3 linked regions of the Lytechinus pictus genome follow. The protein of the gene in region 1 purifies or fractionates together with the protein of each later gene. This does not show direct contact. Links are inferred from orthologs where the notes say so. Each region holds a gene or a part of one and is shown on either strand. Other genes may lie near its edges.

Region 1 (7,473 bases):
ATATATAGATCAAGAAACCAGTAGAATAATAGAACAAAGAATTTATTGAACAATATCAACATGTACATTATCTTTATAAATAACTTTAACTGGTATATTCATAATTCCCTTTTACTGAAAGGATTAAAAATATAATATAGAAAGAAAAACAAAGGGAAAGACAGCCACATCCGCGCAAAACTTTCTAAACTTAAATCAATCCTTGACTTTGACATCAGCCCCCCCCCCCCCCCTTCCCCACATACCTACGAAAGCAAGCCCCCACAATTGTGACAGATATTGCAAATTCAGCATGTAAGTAGCGCATCCCCAATTTTTTTTTTAATTGCTTGGATCATGAGCCACCTTCCCTGCCCCCCCAAAAAAAAATATATATATGGAGGCCTTGCCCCCTGAATCCATTATTATAAAAACACAGATCTATACAGATCTATTCTACTTTCCAAATATGTTTTAACCCCTGGCCCAGGGAAAAACATAAATAAAGGGGGTAATGCAATTTGACCCCCCCCCCCTTCTATTCTCACAATCCATTCCTCATTCATTGCGAACAATACATCATCATCATCAAATCATGTCCAATGGTTAAATATTACAATAAAATCATTTTTAAAGGAAAGAGTTGTCAAATGTTAAATATATCTTTAAAACTGATACACTCAGGCGAAATATCCTGAAAGACGTCCCCGTAAATTATGTTTCGTGGGATTAAGTACATTTTGCCTTTCTGCCAGAGAGGGTGCATTTACCCTTCCAACGATCGCAAATTAATCTAAAAACTTTTGACATGGCTTCAATATTGTCTTTCGCGCTTCTCAGCGCCATACTTATTGGCCCCAAGTTTGGTAGCAATCGAGAGAGAACGTTGCAAGTTACTCAGTTGTTCAACAGGGTTCTTAATATGTTCTGAGGGGGTCGGTTTCGAGCTGTAAGCCCTCAAAGATACCTCAAATTTAGCCTAAAATTACTCATATTTTCAGTTTAATATTTCAATGAAAATCATAGGGGAAAAAATAGAATTTTGGGGAAAAAATAATTAAAGTTTGTCATCTTAGCTTCGTTTGAAGCCATCTTGCAGCCGATATCACAGTCTACTTCCCTTGCAATGCATGATTGTAGCTGACCCTGCAAACCCGGAAGTTAAAGCCATGTTTTCATTTTACCATAAACATGTTCTGCAGCGTGACGATATGCCCAATATACGTCATAGAAAACCTAGGGGTTTTTTTTACTGAAAATGACCATGGTTCAACGAATTAACATTGAAATAGTGACAATTGTAAGTTTTTCTTCTGTATTATTTCAATTGTGTGTTACACATCGCATTTAGCCTTGAATTAAATGAAGGCCAGAATTAACATATAGACTAGAGAGGGCTCAGTTGTGGGTAACCCAGGGACACAGAGGAACAAACTTGACCCTCAAAAAAAGGAAAATTTCTGTCTTGTTCGTTCTCCTTCTTTCAAAATTGAAAACATAATGGCCGATCGCTACCGCGTGACGAACGCGACATGGAGGTCTAACTTTTCTTTTTTTTGAGGGTCCAGTTGGTGCCTTGATGTCAGGATTCTGTGTCACGATAGACCTCCATCCATTATAATCGAGGTTAGTGCATAATTTATTTTTTCCCCTTTTATTTGGTGATATAGATAGTTTTAGTCTAGACTAGAGACCCCATTCTACCCCATTTTGGAGAGTACCCATGCATGTCTGCCTAGTATTACAAGGACGAGTCCTGGGCTCCGGCCCACTTCACAGGCCGGAGCTCCCTGGCCTGGGTTTAATAAGTTGTGAGTTGTCGTTGTTGGGAATTTTTGTCAGTAGAGGCGTACGGCCAATATTGGAGACTGTCTCCAATGTGGGAGATTATCTTCAATATCAGAGACTTTTGTAAAGAATTTGGGTATCCAATTTCAGAGACAGTCTCCAGTTTTGGAGTCCAATTTCCTTTGTTTACATTTGCTGCAAAAGGATAACCTTGGCGGCAAATAAAAATGTGATAAGCAGATTCCTCATGAAAAATTACCCCTTTTCACCATCTACTTTAAAAATTCACCGTCTACTTTTGTTTTGATAAGGATTTTTGTTGTCAATCACACACAAAACAAATGGGCTTCTGACCTCAGTGAGACAAAATTTTGGGTGGAAAAAATCTAGACAGCTGGCAGCCGTCTGTTTCGAGGAGTTTTTTAACATTTTTTTTTTTTTTTTTTTTTCTCCTCGTACACAGACGGCTCGCTAGCGTGCAGCCACCATTAGGGGACTTGCAATGCAAAATCCCCCCGTCGGGGCTCTTCAATTTTTGTCTTTAATGAATAAAAATTTTGAAAATTAACGCGACCAAAATGCAAATTAATATTCCCTCTTGGCATTAATTGCCAAAAAACGGAGAAAAATCAAGTTAAAAGGAACAAAAACAGTGACTTACCGCAGCTGTCGCGCAAATTCACTTCCCCTTTTTATCCGATCTTAAGTACATAAACATATGGCCATTGAGTCCCCTGTAGAGATCGCGCTAGAACTTCGGTCTCTGTATTTGGTGAGTGAAGCCAACGGAGTTCAGCTGAACAACCAACATAACAGAGACCGAAGCTTTTGGTCTAGAAAAAATCATGCTTTTGTTGGTGTTGTTTCTTTTGTCCTTTTGCAAAGCAGGTCTCCAATGTGGGAGATTGTCTCCCCTATTGGAGAGAGTCTCCCATATTGGCCGTGCGCCTCTACTTTTTGTGTTGTTAATGTTGGACGCGAGAGTTAGTGTTCCGCGCGCCGCGGCCAGTGTGGGTGGCCGTGGCCGTGGCATTGCTGCTACCTCGACTTACTGACATTTGTGAACAATTTTTGGTGAGGAAATTTGCTCGAAATCGGCCCTTGCGAAACTGCATTATTAGCGCCCTTCTGCCCAACAGGCAACAGGGTACAGCAGGATCTCCGAAAGTAAACCCGCTCTCCAACACCGTCGCTCATCATACAATTTACACAAGCTCATTACTCGATCTGTGCACACGACAACACATGCATAACAAATAGCCACCGGAGCACATGACCTGGCATATGTCGAGAAGGCGAATTGAAATTTACCCACAACTCATTAATAAATTCAACTCATCCTCTCAAACTTACCCATGGTGAAAAGAATGACAATAATTGCGACTGCAACACCCAAAATGATGGGATCTTGCTTTGAAACCTCCGATTTGACATTTTCAAAATACCCTTGCAACACGTCAACACCGCTTGCAGCCGACATTTTTACAGAATACTGCCCTCTAGTGGTCAGCTTATATTTGCCTTTCTCTCTCCTTTTATTTTGTTCTCCCCCTTCTCTTACTTTGCTTCCCTCTTGACCTTCAATAAAAACCCTTGCGTCTCATTATAGCTCCATTCATATCTATCTCTGCTGATTCCGGATTCCCTTCTTTTTTTCTTTCTACTTACTTTTCTTTTTCTTTCCTTTCTTTCTTTCATTCTTTCTTTCTTTTTTTTCTCTCCCTCTCTCTTTCCACTTGTTTTTAACAAGAATTACTTCTATCATTCAGGAAAAAAAAACTTTCCATGGGTCTGAAAAAATAAACTCTAATAAATTAATAATAGGGTAGACTATTACAAACAATCTTAAAGGGCCCCAATGAAAACCAGAGTTAAATCTGATTGGGTTACTTTCTTATATAATTTGTGAAATATATCAATAGCAGCAGTACTCCTTTTGCCTTCTTTGTTCTCACATTTTTTCTTCATTTCAAACTTAATTTCTTTGTTTCTCTTCCTTTAGTCAATTCTTACTTTTATTTTTAGTCCAAGTTTTATTTATTCCTTCTCTTTATTCCTTCATTCTTTTTGTTTTGTTAAGGCTCTATTTGGTTTGTGTTTTTTTATATATTTTTTTTTTGCTTTTCACAAGAAAATAATTTTCATCAAATTATAGGAAAATGTCACTACAAGAGTGTTGATATAGTATCTTCATACAACATTAACATTTAAATTGGGACTCCCTGATGCCCCCCAACAGACACACACCAAACACCTTGTTAAATGTTAAGGCTTTTCTCAGAAAAAAAGGAATTTGAAAACTCAAAGGAAAATCAACAACACTGTAAAAGATATATTGTATTTATAACATTAAATTACCATATAAAAGTTTTAATATTCAATTTTACTTGCCAAATATATACAGCCACAGTCAAGGACAGGCATTTTGATCATGTACACATCAAACATGTACCACATAATCATAAAATGTGATAATGATTTTAATTTGCTTTTCTTTTTTATTGAAAGATACCCCAAGGGCCCCGTTGCATAAAAGTTACTATTATGGTCCAACTTTGCCATCCAATTGTAACTACCATGGTAACAATGCTCAACAGCCAATCAAAATCAAGGATTCAATGCAAGTTACCATTGCATGGAAAAGTTACCATGATATGGTAATTTTTATGCAACGGGCCCTGGAGTCTAAACTGAAATTCTGTTGAATTTTACAGGGGCAAACAGAGATAGAGACTTCTACTGTATACCATTTTCCCTTTGAAGTTTCAGTGTCACAAAATGTTGAACATTGCACAAATTACAAACCAAAATATTATTCATAAATAGAACTTTCACTGTCATACAGTAGTATTGGGCTATCATCATGCAGCCCTTTACGAAAATGGGTACATTCATAATATCATATTTCAGCTTGGTTTCAGTTTCACTAATGCATCATATAAACAATTTCAAGAAATAGTGTGACATTAAATATGATTACTCACTTTCTTCACAAATTTGCCTTTGTCAACAAGCAAAAAATTATTTATTTTAGACTATCCTAAACCCCAAAGGCCTATATTCTGCACTCTGGTTCAATTTAAACTCTGGTCTTAAAGTTGTGATTAAACTCTGGATGGCCCACTGCGACACAACTTTTTAAGTTTAGAAGTTTCAATTTATCCAATTACTTTGACACTCAAAATATTCATATCTGTCTGGGAATAATAAGTAAAATAATTTTCTTCACCATCACAGCATGAGGAAGGAGCACAGTAAACATAAAACATAAACCATAAAAAAAATAATAATTGTAAAATTTGAGACATTTTCGGAATAAAAGAAACAAAAACAACCTACAATCAAGAGGTGCTTTGATACAGTGTCTCATGATGCAGATTTCCTTTCTAGAAATCAACTTATGAAGATGAGGCATCTTCAATTTTCATTTCAAGTTTTGAGTTGTGTTTGATAGTGAATTGAAACAAGCTCTGAATAACAAATCATAAACAATACCATATAAATAAGAAATACAGATGGGTGGTTGGAGGAAGAGGGGATGGCCAAAGAATTAATGGAAAAAGCAATTGACGGAAGAGAGGAGGGTTGGGCTGAGGATGAAGGAAGCAGTGCATCATGCAAAATGGAGGGAGGGGTAAGCAGGGAAAGGGTGAATCAGGCCACCCCCATTCAATGGGGACAAATCTGGGCCCTGTCTTACAAAGAGTTACGATTGATTCAATCAATCACAACTCTATGGAAATTCATCAGTGTCATAATTTTTTCTACAGGAAATTTGCACAATGTCCTTTGTAAACAAAGAGAAGCACAGTGAATTTTCAAGAAAACAATGAATGCAAGAATATAAATCATAGTTAGAAAATATTTTGAACAAACATGAATAATTCATGTTGATGTTGCGGGCCGTCCATAGTTGTGATTGATCGGATCAATCGCAACTCTTTGTAAGACGGGCCCCTGGACTTAAAACTGGGCAGTTCCATAAAATATGTACGTCTGACCCCCTATATGTGGGAACTTCATGAAATTTTCTGTCTCTGATTTCTTGTTCTTTTGACAGTCTGTAATGTTTTCAAAGGACCATGACTTGGTCAGTTTACAAAGTGAAGCAAGACTTGAGAAAAATGGGGGTCGGACGTACAAAAAGGTTGATCATTTTATGGAATTGCCCAACCGTGGACTACTGGTACATAAATAAAACATGATAACAAGAATGAATAGGGTGTGCACCTCATTGCTTGCCTGGCTCGATCAATGTGACTATTCTTTCTTCCTCTTAATACCAAATAAACTCTCAATCATAGAGAAACATATTTGTCTGATTTTTACCAGCATCGACAACCTCTTCAACAGATACTTCTGGGGCAAAGGTCAGAAATAAAGCTTGAAAGTCATCATCTCATCATCAGATTCTCCAAGTAGCACCATCACACGGAGATGTCCCTTTATTGGAGGCATTTCCCCCGATCTCTTTGCATCCGAAACTTGTCATGCCAACTGCATGAATGTTTAAAACCTCTTAAACGGATGGAGAGGTACAACATTTGAGTTGTCTTGTGAAACGTATAGCATGACCAGGGGCCCGTTGCAGAAAGAGTTGCAATCAATCGCAACTCTAACAATCATGCGCAACTTGATTTTCAACCAATCAACAAAGCGCATTTGGGACTTGCGATTGATTTTTTGGCTTGCGTTTCAACGCAACTCTTTCTGCAACGGGCCCCTGGTCCTTGACTTCCTCATGGCCAACCACTCAAGGACAGAGGCCCCTCACACTCATCCGAGTGGTCACGGGAGATTGGGTGTATCTCTATTTTAGAGTGGTTTCTCTCATCTTGAATCTTTGCTTGATCAGACCGGTAATGAACTTGATACTGCTTTCCCTGCTAAAGAGGTGAACACTTTGGTGAAAAACTTGAGTCCAGTCTGACCACCGGGGATGTAGCTCATCACATACCTGTGAATCAAAGAATTAGAAATACTTTTATCCAGGGGGCGTCTCATAAAGCTACTTTCAAATCATCTTCATTTTTTTTCTTTTTTTTTTAAAGAGTACGCATTGTTACCAAGAATAGCATTTCCATTTATTCGGATGTAGGATAAAAGAGCACTGTTGATTAAATGGATGGAACCCCAGACTTTCATGTTTCTAGTCATTAGACCACTCAGCCAGGCTGCACTCAGCCACGACACCTCCACAAAACTTGGCTTTTTATACTATAGATTTTATACAAGTTTTCTCCAACATTGAAAAGGATTTATGTCTCAAATGATTTGATATTGCATTAAGAGTTGTGAAATTTGCTTTATAATGATGAAAATTGTCATTATAATTGATCAAGAATGAGTTATTGTCACAACAACTCAATATTTTTTGCACATTTTCTCTTAGAAGTTCAATCCAGACTTCATACTAATAAGTTTAATCATGGGAACTCCATTAAAAAACTCACCAAATTAGGGCTAACATTTGAAGAATGGCACAAACGATTGTCATTATGGTGACTTGTTTCTGAAAGAGAAGACAAAACCATGGATTATAAACAGAATAATGGATTATTATGTCAATAAGGTTTATTCATATCAAAGAGGAATCAATTACATGTATAAGACCACTGTAACACATTTGTTGCTTTGTACAGGAGGTATTTTATCTGTCCTTTCTTTCCTTCTTTCACTCTCTCTATAGTAACGAGACTTGATTTA
Region 2 (6,879 bases), on another chromosome or scaffold:
CATATCCGTCGTGATAATTAGGAAAATCCACGATGTCTTCTTCTAATTCTGTAAAAATTACCTCTTCAAAGTGCCTGTGTCAGAAAATTGCCGGAAATCGTAAAAACTTGCCTTAAATGTCTCTTTTTGAAAGTTCATCCATGGTCTGGAAAAAATGTTATAATTTATGTAGACGTATAACAAGGCTCCACATTAACTTTTTTTGGTGGTGGCCCGTTCGGGCCACCAAAACCATCAAAATTTTTTTTTTGGTGGCCCGATATTAAAGTTTGGTGGCCCGAAAAATATAAAGAAAAACATTAAAAATGAATAAAACAAACTTCTGAAATATTAATTCTGCAGCCACTACCACTATGTTACTTTTACTTTATACATGTAAACCTTGTTTGCTGTAATTTTACTTTGCTAATTGATAAACGTTTCTATTGTTGTAAAAATGAAATGATTGAAAGAGAATAAATTAATTGTATTGTTCGCAGGTTGTGTGGACTTTTTTTAAATCTCTGTATAGAGATAATGGTAAAGTAAATAAATAGTGCATAGCAAATTCAGATAGATGTACAAAACAATGGTTTTTCCTTCCTTCCTCTTTGAATCCTAAAACCTAGAATATGCATGCCCCAAATCCAGTTTATTTCTGTTTTCTCTTTTGCAGCATATTATAGAAGGAGAAAATCACAGAAAAATATGCTGCAAAATTAGAACAATGCATAAAAGGGGGAAACAAACGAAAATAATTTTCAAAAAGTATATTACAAAAAGAAAACAAAAATAATAAAAGAAATTAGTGAAATAAAACAAAAGAAAGAAAATGAAGAAAGAAAAAACAAAGAACAGGGAAAAAAAGAAAATAAAAAAATTAGAGAGAAAAAAGAAAAGAAAATGAAAGAAAAATTAATAAAACAAAGTTAATAAAAAAATGGGGAAAAGGGGAAAATTAAGAAGCCATTACATATATTTTTTAACAGATGTGGCAACAGTCTATTCTGACTGGAATATAATTAAAAGCCAAGCAAATAATTTTCACTTACTTTATGGGAATGGCACATTTTTATTTTTATATCCTTTAGTTTGTATTATTTTATTTTCAGTAGAAACATATTTTTTAATCAGGCATATTCAATGGGAAGGTGTATAAATGGTTTAACCACTGTCAAAAAAAAATGAAAGGAAAAAAAAAAGAAAACGGCAAAAATTATATCTGGAAAAAAAGTGTGAGAAAAGTCCTTCCCTATATTTGCCAAAATGTTGGGTGAAAAAATCACATTTCATATCAATGAAATGCCTTCCCAAAGTATTTACTTTCTCAAGAGTGGTTTAAGAAGTCATTTATAAACAAGAAAGAAAGAAACTGTCTGTTTGTTTTTGGCTAGAAAATACACAGCTTCGAAAGAAACCAAGTATCAACATACATACAAATGCACACGTGGGACTGTGATGTAATTGCCTATGTGTTTTATGTGTATTAATTCATGTGGAAATCGGTCTTTTTGAGTCAAAAGAGAGGTCATAATTCCTCTTCTTAATACTTGCAAATAATCAGGATACACCAGATTTTCGTAATATAGACTGTAGAATTGCATTTCATTGGTGTAAAATGTGACTTTGACTGAGATTTTCAAAGTTCTGTGGAAGATTTCTCAGCTGCAACATTTTTTATCGCAGCTCCCTGAGTCTGAATAGGCTGAGCTAGCTAGATCTAGAGCACAGCTGTATGCAGTGGCTTCATGCAAAGCTCACGCCAGCCGGCCGGCGCGTCTGGCTGGATAATAGCTACTGTATGCTATAGCTGTAGGCCTAATATGCAAACTTTGTGTGTGTGTATTTGTGTGTAGATCAACAAAAAGGGCGCATGACGAACTGGCTTGCAATTTGAGCTGTAGAAAGTTGATAAATGCGTGCAAAATTGGGAGAAAAATTGCGCTACTTTGAAAATTATTGGTTGCCCGATTCGGGCCACCAAAACTTAACATTTTATCAATAATGGTTGCCCGAGGTGAATTTTTGGTGGCCCCGGGCCACCGCTAATGTCGAGCCTTGCGTATAACGTAAACAAATACATCCTCGATCACTGAAATGAAGTGTTTGCTAAGCTTTTATATCTCAGACCACGTTACCATGGCAACTTGGGAAAACCTTTATTTTTTAGTAATAAAATTCTGGTTTTAAGGGTCATTTTAGAGACATAAAACTAACCATATTTTGAAGTATTGGGTTTAAATTTCACATAAAACTGAATTATCTATGTTTATACTTTCGTATATGAATATTCATATTTCTTATAGAATCTTAGTTTTTGATTGGTCAATGTTTCAGTCATGGATAATAACTGAGCGTTAAAAAATCTGAAAATGCGCATTTTATCGGCAACCAACAATCAAGATGGCGGAACACATTAAGTTGGCGCTATGCACGTACGTGGCTACTAGCCTTCTAGGCTACATCTGTCCCATATTATAAAATGCATGAATTTCAATTTTTTTTTTTATTCGTGATGACTTATTTTTGTTTCCTTGTTAAGAAGGGGTGTGAAATTATTAAAAAAGCTCCTTGAAGCAGACGGCTGCCAGCTATCTAGGGCCAAGTATACTTCAGTCTGGCGAGAAGCCAACGCAGTTCAGCGGAACAACCAAATCTACAGTACAAAGCTGAGTCAGAGACTGAAGCTTTTGGTCTAGGCCTATATGCCCGTCACTGCACTGCACCGCCGACGCTCTCCCGGTCCAGTAGTGTATCGTACCGTTCTCGGTAACGCTCGCGTCGACTAGCACAGCAGCTCATCAGTCCCATCACACACATCTTTTATTGCTATTCTTTTTCGTGCTTACATAACTATCCTGAGACATATATTGCTCTATCTCGTTGATGATATCATTTTACAATATATGCAAAAATGAAATGTGAATTGAAAACTTACCTTAATTCTAGCAAATCTACAGGGGAAAAGAAAATTTTCGACATCAGGCATCAACCTCTGTGCTGATCCTCCCACTGCCTATTACGTGTTTTAGAAAACCGCCCTCTTTAGGTCTAATGTTGGAGAGCAGAATCGAGTGTTTTTTTTAATTTTTTTTAAAGGATGTTTTTATTGTATTCTCTCAAATCAAAATACACATTTACATTTCATGAAAAATCAATTGAAACATGATTATAAATTTTGCAATAAATCCATATCCCATATGATTATACAAATATACATCGAACTTCAAATATACCGGAAATTAATACTGACCCGGATACTGATGACAACATGCGTTTCAACCCCAGTTTCAACAATTACAAATGAAAATTTTAACATGATGCAGGGGCGGATCCAGCTTTTTATAAAGGGGGGGGGTTGGGGTGGTATGCGAGGGAGCGTAGCGACCGAGTCCAAGCGAGCGGAGCGAGCGAGGGGGGAGGGTGTGGGAGGGGGGTGTCCCCCTCCCACAGTAGGGAAAATTTTTGAAAATCTGTGTGTGAAAATGGCGTTTTCTTGCATCTAAAACACCACTCTTTTTGGTATAGAGGTCGTTGCCAAATTAACCCCCATGAAAATTTGTAAAATTAAGTTGCATTTTCCTGCAATGTAACATTTGTTCGCCCAACCCCCCCCTCCCCCCAAAAGAAATAATAATAATAATAATAATAATAATAATAAATGAAATAAATACATAGAAATAGAATAAAATAAAATTACAAGTTTAAAAAAAAAGATAAGATTTAAAAAAATGGTCCCCGGATTTTTTTTTGGGGGGTTGCAACCCCCCCAACCCCCCCTCTAGATCCGCTTCTGTGATGTATTACATGTAAATGACAAGAAAGAGAAAAAAAAACAATGATAAAAAACAGTGATGTTCTACCTCCCACCCCAAGTGTTTTTTTCTTTTAAATCAATTCATTCAGTGACATTTACAACCAGCTCTGAAATACAAACATAAACTGACGATTAACTTCATAAATAATACATCAAAGTACCAATAACAAAGTATAACAGGTACACAAATCTATAGATTTAAATCAATTAAACTGGTCCATTCATTATTCCAATTCACTGAAAGAAACTTAAGAAATATAATACAGAAAAAATAAAGAAAACCAAAACCCGCACTCAGGCCCCCTCCTTCCCCACACCACCTTGCCCATCCCATCCCACCCTCCCCAGCCCCACCATATCTGCGCCTCGCTCCCCCCAAAAAAAAACAATGACCCAGGCAAGCCCCCGCTTGAACATTAGAATCTGCACTGCTATACAACGTATACATTGAGGGGAGAGAGAGAAGAGAAAAGGAGAGAAATAAATGAAGAAGAAAAGGAAGAAGAAGAAAAGGAAAAAAAGTAACTCTGCCATTCATTCGGAATCAAAAGCCTCCCATGTTTAAAAATGACGTATATCCTTTTTTCCTCAAATTTATTTCTTACGAAAATTTCTTTCACTTCCAGTGGTTATATAAGGAGGTATATTTTTCTTTTTAGATTGAATATAGGATATATTTCAATAACAATATTACACAATAATACGTCTTCCTGGTATCACCCAAGGGTGCACCAAAAATATTCCTTCCCAATCCAGTTCTTAAAAATGAGTAAGTTAAGGGGGAAGTTCACCCTGACAAAAAGATAATTGCAAAAAATTTTAGCAGAAAAATACTTAAAAACATTGCCGAAGGTTTGAGAAAAATCCATCAAAGAATAGAAAACTTATTAGAATTTTAATTATTTGATTTGTAACGTAATATGCGATCAGCATTCCTACATATCGAATGGTAAGAAAAAATAATGAAATGTCATTATCTCAGAAAATTGATAATAGTTTTCATTGTGACATTTAGTATATCTGTAGGCAAATCATTTCACACCCCTTCCTAAAAAGAAAACAAAAATAAGCCCGGGAAGTAAGTCATCATGAACCAATAAAAATTTGAAATTCATGCATTTTATAACAGATGCTCGTTTATGACGTCACATATCCAAAACTTAAATTTTAATAACTTCCTTAATCTTTGTTGGATTTTTCTCAAACCTTTACCAGTATTCACATGCCCCCCCCCCCCCATAGCAAACGAATGTGAACAGGTTTCTACTTCTATCTGACAAAACTGCAGATCAGTAAGACCAAATCAATATAAATCACAATTCGTGTAAATAATCCCATAGCATTTTGAATTGAAATTCCCTCAGCTTACTATTCAAAATACATTTTCTCGGCCTGAGAAAGTGTTTTCAATAGGCATATCTCTTTAGACAAACTAAATTATTCTTTGAACCGATTAACTTCTAATTTAGAATTGAGAATAGTTCTTTACCATCTTTTTTAAGACGAGTTCAATTCCCCAAAACAATGAATAAAATTTTTTCCAGATCTATTTCTCTTTTTTCTTTTCTTCCGTGAAATGCATTTACCTTTTCCAACTGGGCGGAATTTTCTCAAATATAGGCATAATTATTACCTGTAATAATTATATTCCATGAATATGATGAAGTGAGACCTTTACTTTTGAAATTGCATCCGTTTTCAATTCACCATCTTTATCTGCAACATGTTTTAACCTGAATAAATACCTTTCGATATTAGATCTGCATGATGGAATGGAAAGCCCCGAAAACAATATATTTATTATTAAAAATGACTTCATTACAGATTACTGTTACAGATGTTACGATTCCAACCATGTATTTAATAGCTGTAAATAAAACGGCGATAAAGACATGCAGCTTTAACTGTACTTTAGAATATCGTATTTACAGAGAAAAATGAAGTAATAACAATACAAATCCATTTCATTTGTTGATTCCAAAACTGTGATATAGACAAAAATTCATCATTTTAAGTTCCTCATATTTGAAATCAAGAAACATTGTAGTTCTCTTAACCTTGTCTTTTTCTCTTCATAAAAAATCAAAGGTCAATTTACCCAAGCATACCGTGAGAGGGAGTTTTTAATTTTGCTCAAAACTTCTTCATATAGTTCATACTCTCTTTTACCTGTTAAGCTAAAAAATACCCCTAATAATTTTATGAATGGTACTAATTTTCCGAAATGGAGTGCCCCTGGTTTTTCTTGATTAACATTGCCAAATAGCATTTAGTGGCGTAATGAGCAAAACAAAAATTGAGGGGCTAGATATGGCGTATCGCGTAAAATTATTAAAAAGTTGCGAGCGAGCAAAAAAATTGTCATTTTTATTAAAAAAAATACAATTTTGTGAAAGGTTTTGTAATAATTTTAGGAAATGATATCACATTTCACTCTTTTCTCTTTCCTTTTTTTTTTTCTTGGTCGTGATTTTTTTGGGGGGAAGAGCCCCCCAGGCCCCCCATCTGTACGCCAGTGATAGCATTATCATGATTATATATATCTTTTCTTTATTCATTTTCAACCCAGACACACTTACGAAACTTTTGAATGTTATTTCTAAATGGTTCATTGAATTAAGATTGTCGATTCTAATTGCCTCTGCCGTAAATGCATCACAAAGCCGGGTTTTATATTTATAATAATTTTATTCTTATGAAATTACTTGAATTGCAGCTGTGTATATCATGTTGTAACGCATTTTATCAATCCTTTGGCACTTTGGCACTCTCCCTCTCTCTCCTCCTCTGTTTCCATTATCCTTTTTCTAATTACGTTCCTTTTTTTTTCTTCGTCCAATTTCTGTCTATTTCTCTATCCATTTTTTTTTCATTTCGCTTTTGTCTCTTTCATTCTTTAACTTTTAGCTGTATCTCTCTCCAGACGTTTCTTCATTCTTTGCCTGTATGAGTAATTTATTGGTTTTCAATTCCTTTTTATGTTGTAATTGCAATACATGTTTATTTACATTCCTGTAATGTTTAAATATTGTCCAATTTATACGTCTTTAGCGTGTATTTATATAGTTTACATTATTATTGTC
Region 3 (6,903 bases), on another chromosome or scaffold:
AACTTTTGGGAAAAATGACATTTTAGCCATAATATGTATTGGAGTACATGGAAGAGTAGTCCTTGCCTTACATCACTATGACATCCCATATGCGGCCAATTTGAAGTCTCCATGAGTTTAGTGATTACCAATATTTACAACTTTTAAAAATTCATAGCTTTCTTGTTATTTGTCCAATATTGTTCAAACTTTCACCTATCAACTTACCTGATTTTTCTTTTTCTTATAAAAAAACAAGTTTTTATTTGGGTTGGATTCCCCTTTAAGTTTAAAGTTTAACTAAGTAAAAGCCAAGGCAAAGCCAAACTAGCCAAAGCATGAACAAAATTTATTTTTTAAAATGGCATTTCAAAGTCAAACTAAAGATTTGAGAGCATCTATCAGTAGAGGCGCACGGCCAATATGGGAGATTCTCTCCAATATGGGAGATTGTCTCCCATATTGGAGACTTGCTTTGCAAAAGAGTAAAAGAAACACCAACAAAAGTGTAATTTTTTCCATCAAAAATTTTGTCTCACTGAGGTCAGAAGCCCATTTGTTTTGTGTGTGGATGACAACAAAAATCCTTATCAAAACAGAAGTAGACGGTGGATTTTTAAAGTAGACGGTGAAAAGGGGTAATTTTTCATGAGGAATCTGCTTATCACATTTTTATTTGCCGCCAAGGTAATCCTTTTGTAGCAAATGTAAACAAAGGAAATTGGACTCCAAAACTGGAGACTGTCTCTGAAATTGGATACCCAAATTCTTTACAAAACTAACAAAAGTCTTTGATATTGGAGATAATCTCCCACGTTGGAGACAGTCTCCAAAGAGTCCAATAATATTGGCCGTGCACCTCTACTGTCCGAGTGATACTGATAGTGATAAGAATATTAAGATTTTACTTTTGAGAGCATCTATTAACATCAAATATATCGAGGAACAACTGCAGAATACCCCGCACGACGAGAGCATGGATGTTTGAATCGACCAACGACCTACGATGTGATGAAAGGATGTTGCAACAAAGCCGAGTTGTGACTAAAATTCGAACTTGTTTACGTCAAGCCAACGATTGATTACGCGATTTTTGCATAGGGCATGCCGCCAACGAGCCAACGATGCCAACGTTGTGAGATTGGCATGCTACCAACGAGCCAACGATGCCAACGTTTTGACTTGCGTTGGCTTGCTACCAACGAGCCAACGATGTCAACGATGTGAGTTTGGCATGCTGTCAACGAGCCAACGTTGTGAGTTTGGCATGCTGCCAACGAGCCAACGATGCCAACGTTGTGAGTTGCATTGGCTTGCTGCCAACGATCCAACGGTGCCAACGTTGTGAGATTGGCATGCTTCCAACGAGCCAACGATGCCAACGTTGTGAGTTTGACATGCTACCAACGAGCCAACGATGCCAACGTTTTGACTTGCGTTGGCTTGCTACCAACGAGCCAACGATGCCAACGTTTTGACTTGCGTTGGCTTGCTGCCAACGATGCCAACGATGTGAGTTTGGCATGCTGCCAACGAGCCGACGATGCCAACGTTGTGAGTTGCATTGGCTTGCTGCCAACGAACCAACGATGCCAACGTTGTGAGATTGGCATGCTTCCAACGAGCCAACGATGCCAACGTTGTGAGTTTGGCATGCTGCCAACGAGCCGACGATGCCAACGTTGTGACTTGTATTGGCTTGCTGCCAACGAGCCAACGATGTCAACGTTGTGAGTTTGGCATATGCTACCAACGAGCCAACGATGCCAATGTTGTAAGATTGGCATGCTACCAACGAGCCAACGATGCCAACGTTGTGAGTTTGGCATGCTGCCAACGAGCCAACGATGCCAATGTTGTAAGATTGGCATGCTACCAACGAGCCAACGATGCCAACGTTGTGAGTTTGGCATGCTACCAACGAGCCAACGATGCCAACGTTGTGAGTTTGACATGCTACCAACGAGCCGACGATGCCAACGATGTGAGTTTGGCCTGCTGCCAACGAGCCAACGATGCCAACGTTGTAAGTTTGGCATGCTGCCATCGAGCCAACGATGCCAACGATGTGAGTTTGGCCTGCTGCCAACGAGCCAACGATGCCACGTTGTGACTTTGGCATGGCATGCTACCAACGAGCCAACGATGCCAACGTTGTGACTTTGGCATGCTACCAACGAGCCAACGATGCCAACGTTGTGACTTGTATTGGCTTGCTGACAACGAACCAACGATGCCAACGTTGTTAGATTGGCATGCTACCAACGAGCCAACGATGCCAACGTTGTGAATTTGGCATGCTACTAACCCTAACCCTAACCCTAACCCTAACCCTAACCCTAACCCTAACCCTAACCTAACCCTAACCCTATGCACATAGTAGGAACATCGTAGGTCGTTGGCTCGCCAACGGTATGCGCGCGAGAGTACAAGCATGCGCGCGTGTATTCGTATGGCTCGGAAGTACAGTACCGGTACGGGTCGTATCGTAAAAACTGACAAGACAACGAATCTTCAGGATCGATCACGTCGAGATTGATTCTGATTCTTCACATCGTAGGTCGTGACGTTGGCTCGCCAACGTTGAGGTAATGAAATGTGCGGGGTATTCTGCAGTTAAGCCTATATCGATATCATAATTTGAAACAACATTTTTTTATAAACCGTCCCGTTTTTTTTTTGTTGTGTAATACGCACTGCACTGTTATAGCTCAAACTAAAGTCAGACGGGGGATCGGGGCCCTTACGCCCGACGGGTCCGGGGGGAGATACGGCTACGACTAGGCCTAGATCGGATTTGCCAACACTGCGCGATTGCGAAAGCTATTGCGAAATACTATAGACATAAATCTAAATTTCCCCACCTGAAGAATTACACTTTTAATCAGCGAATTCACGGGCGCTCCAAAGGCTTGACACGTCCCTTGGAAACACCAAAGAACAATCCCTCCTTTGCTAAAAATCGTGAAAAGGTCTAACATATTGTCACTTTCCGGCCCTCGCCGTTGTCGATTTACACGCAATCTGACTGAACTTGTCACTTTTTTTTAATGCAGTCAATATTACGGTACCCTCGATCCATGCAACAAGCAAGCAAAATAAAGTTGGTACATTGTTTTTGTTTTATACGTAGTACATTGATTTGATTGTGCTACAACCGATAGATGAGTGCTCAGCCTATTCAGAGGCAGCGGAACTGGGGGCAGCCCCCCCCCCCCCAAAAAAAAAAAAAAAAAAAAAAAAAAAAATACCCGTAGAAAAAATGCCTTTAATGGAAAATGCATCTTTTTTAAATGAAATGTGCCAACGTGCTCAATTACTGTTAAGTAAGGTTCTCATCCTGTTCATGGTTACAAAAATGCTTAGAATTTCCGGTTTTCATGTTCAAATATCACAAATTTTCAGCTTGCCCTTTGCGCTCGCATTATTCGATTGGTAAGATATGTACCCTATTTATGAGTAACTATATGCAGTCCTTATAAAAGGTCCTTTTCTGGTCAGCATTCAAAATTTCAGTTCGCGCTGGCCTTAATTCTTTAGTTACATACACATCTTTTTCATGATTACCAAAACTATTCGGACTGGTTAATTTTCGCGTTTCACGCTCGCAACATCACCCAGGGATGCTCTTGAGTTATAATACATGTACTAACTTCAGATTTTTTCCAAACCGCTTGCTCGCTACACTTTATCGCGGAAAATAAAGGCATAATCAGAAATCACTTTAAAAAAGGCTTTTCTCAACTACTCCAAAACACACAACTGCACGCATGCAGATGATAATCTCATGGTGAAAATATCCGTTTGCTCCAAAATTCCCTATATGAGTGCCCCTTTTTGGCTTTGCCCCCCCCCCCCCCAACGATAATACGTTCCGCAGCTCCTAAGCCTACTGAAGGCCCTCTTAAAGGCGACCGCACACCTTACGACTGGTCTGCGACCCGATTTAGGAACAAATCGCATTTTGCTCATTTTCTGAAGATGTGAATGGAACATATCATTTTATTTGAGGTTGAAATTAATTGAAATAATAATATTACAACAATTTTGAAAGATTGCAAGCCCTTATTTTGGAGTAAATACCAAATTAGGTTCAAATCGTAGCCAATCGTAAGACTGCTATGACGTCATTACGACTAGATATTAAATTCGCTTTTATTCTAAGAAGGATGATAGCATAGTCACAAATTTGATCATAGGTATTCGTATGATGATTTCGAACATTACACAGTAAGATATTCCAAGTCTCAATATTAGCATCAAATTCTATTACATTTTATTCTGAAATCGGGTCGCAGACCAGTCGTAAGGTGTGCGGTGGCCTTAAGTTTCGTATGTGCTAGTCTTTGTGTGTAGACCCACTTGCTGATCAAAGTTTCAATCAGTGTCTGTACCTGCAGACTAATAGATGATACGGATGGTTGGGAAAAGGGTGAACCGTAATATGTTTTTTTTTCTCGGGCGAATTGTTATTACAAAATCTAATTTTGCTATAGATTTTGACCTAATATTCAGAAAATTGTACAATGTTTCACCCTTCTCTCTTGCCTTTATTTTTTTATTATTATTCTTGGTCTGGACACTATCGTCGGAACAGGATTTTTTTCTATGGTTGTCTTTGCGAGCATTATATAGGGCGCCAATGCTCTATTCAGCAGATAGCATGTTGAGTTTAAAGAAAGAGGGGGCACAACTGTCCAGGGCGAGCAAAGCGAGCGAGAAAAAAAAATCGTGAGGGTGAGAATCTAAGTTTTAGTTTTTGACATCTTCAGAAAATATGATCATTCTTCATTTTTGGTTGTAGAACTCTTTGGGGCCATGGCTTTACGCCAGTGCTATAGGGGTGGGGTCTGGGGCGGAGTTCCTGGAACCTTTTGATATTAAGCCATTTTAAATTTTACAGATGGTCGCTATTTTTAATCAAATGGCAGGTATAGTTTTTGCACAACACATTTCTTCGACGCAGTTATCTAATAAAGCAAATATTTTGAGGGGGCACAACATAAAAAATTTGGTAAATTTGTATTTAAAAAAAAGTCGCCAGCGAGCGAAACACGCCAGAAAAAAATTGCCATTTTAAAATGAAATTTTGATTATGTGACAGATAAATCTCTCTTCCCGTTCTTTATTTCCAATCCTCACTAGCCCGTTCTTGATATTATTTTTTTCCTTTTTGTTTCTTTTCCCTTTTCTTCTTTCTCCAATTTACATTTTGGCTCATTCCATTCTACTTTCATTGCCCGCTTTTATTTGCCTATTCCTTTCCCTTTCCCACCATTCTTTTCCGTGCCATTTTTTCATCTTTTAATTCCTTTTCTTACTATAACTTGCTAACATTATAGAATTAGGGATGATTTGTTCTTTCTCGCATGTTTTTATTTCCTTCCTTTTCCCGCTTTGCTTGCGTTTTCCCTTTTTTATGTTTTAGTTTTCTTTTCACTTTTTCCCTTTCCCTTTCAATCCTTTCCTCCTTTGCTTTCCCTCACTCCCCTTCTTTGTTTTCTTTCTTTCTCCCTTTCTTTGTCTTCCTTCCTTTCTTTCTCACTTTCTTTCTGTCTTTCTTTCTGTTCTTTCTTAATTTCATTTCTCCCTTTTCTCCTTTTTTCCTTCTGTATATTTTCCCGGTGAAATCCACCAGACGCCCCCCCCCCCCCGCCTGTTACGCCGTGCACTGTCGTTTTCCGCGTTTCTTTGTCGCGGATGCTGTCCTCTGTTTAATGGCAGTGGCCCCACCCCCCCCCCCCCCCTTTAAGAGCTCATACGAGCTCTTGCGTGTCCATACAAAAACAATGGGCATTAATCGATGGATAGCACTGAGAGTTATGCATCACAGAGGATATTACGCTGGGGGGCATCTATTGTTGCGCGCCCCCGTGACAATCTTCTGCATGCACTGACACCCATTCATACATCCCCCCATATCATGTAAATTAGGACGAGGATCGAACACCATAGAATCCACCTCCTATAACGTCAGAATCACCGCCGGTACTGCTAAAAAAAAATTTGAGTCCAGTTTCATCACTTTTTAAAACGTACAGTTAGGAGTGGTCTGACTTAGACCCGATTTTGGAATAAAAGGTAGTAGAATATATGTTATGCTAATATTGAGGACATGGAATATCTTACTATGTGATGTTTTAAATCATCGTACGAATACCTATCTTCAACTCTGTGACTATGCTTTCATCCTTATTGGAATAAAACATATCAATATTTTGTCGTAATGACGATCATAGCAATCATACGATTGGCTACGATTTAATTAGCAAAATGCGATTTGTTCCAAAATGACGTGGACCAATCGCCAAGGTGTGATTTGGACTTATTATCTTCACGGTCGCCTTTATATCATGCTTTACAGTAAAAACGCTGTTTAATATTTTTATACAACGCTGTTTACTATATGAACCTTACAGTATTTGTTTAACCGTTTAGACAATCATGTTTAATTTAATGAAGATTAGATATTGAAAATTAAACTTTGTTGCTTAAGATTTAAACACTTGTTTATACTGTTTAAACAATTACTATAAGGTTCACAGTGGCGGATCCAGGGGGGTGGCGCAGGGGGCGCGCGCCCCCCCCCCCTAATATTTGAGCGGCGCCGAAGGCGCCGCTCAAAAAAATAAAAGTAAAAAAGAGAAAAGGCGCTGCTTGAAAAAATAAAAATAAAGGAAAGAAAAGAAAAGGCGCCGCTTAAAAAATTATACACTGATATAATATTAGCAACAGTAAGGAAAGACTATCCCCCAGCAAAGCACAATCATATCATCTTCCTTATCTTTTCTTTTACCTATATACCCTTTTCCCAACAACTTCGCCGGTTAAAAATAATCGCTGCCTGCATATAACTGGCGCCAATCAAGAATAATCAGCGCCACCTTAATCTAAATCGGCGCCGGACAAGAATAATCTGCACCA

The links. Proteins that work in one complex are often made in the same cells at the same time.
Region 2: the proteins of signal recognition particle receptor subunit beta-like (region 1) and E3 ubiquitin-protein ligase RNF185-like purify together in Homo sapiens (affinity purification with mass spectrometry; 3 studies listed by BioGRID and IntAct, with this or other methods). This does not show direct contact. The link is inferred for Lytechinus pictus from reciprocal best matches to the Homo sapiens genes SRPRB and RNF185.
Region 3: the proteins of signal recognition particle receptor subunit beta-like (region 1) and signal recognition particle receptor subunit alpha-like purify together in Homo sapiens (affinity purification with mass spectrometry; 6 studies listed by BioGRID and IntAct, counting the BioPlex papers as one, with this or other methods). This does not show direct contact. The link is inferred for Lytechinus pictus from reciprocal best matches to the Homo sapiens genes SRPRB and SRPRA.

What each region holds. Positions count from the first base shown.
Region 1 is NC_087258.1:10,463,045-10,470,517, forward strand, and holds the start of signal recognition particle receptor subunit beta-like, read right to left. Parts: upstream 3,019-7,473; 5' UTR 2,968-3,018; coding exon 2,820-2,967; intron 1-2,819. Other genes in the region: uncharacterized protein LOC129276264, read right to left, coding at 6,619-6,724, 7,221-7,279. UniProt on the Homo sapiens protein: Component of the signal recognition particle (SRP) complex receptor (SR). Ensures, in conjunction with the SRP complex, the correct targeting of the nascent secretory proteins to the endoplasmic reticulum membrane system.
Region 2 is NC_087246.1:35,946,208-35,953,086, reverse strand, and holds the start of E3 ubiquitin-protein ligase RNF185-like, read right to left. Parts: upstream 3,010-6,879; 5' UTR 2,918-3,009; intron 1-2,917. UniProt on the Homo sapiens protein: E3 ubiquitin-protein ligase that regulates selective mitochondrial autophagy by mediating 'Lys-63'-linked polyubiquitination of BNIP1.
Region 3 is NC_087252.1:13,678,155-13,685,057, forward strand, and holds the start of signal recognition particle receptor subunit alpha-like, read right to left. Parts: upstream 3,010-6,903; 5' UTR 2,961-3,009; coding exon 2,844-2,960; intron 1-2,843. UniProt on the Homo sapiens protein: Component of the signal recognition particle (SRP) complex receptor (SR). Ensures, in conjunction with the SRP complex, the correct targeting of the nascent secretory proteins to the endoplasmic reticulum membrane system.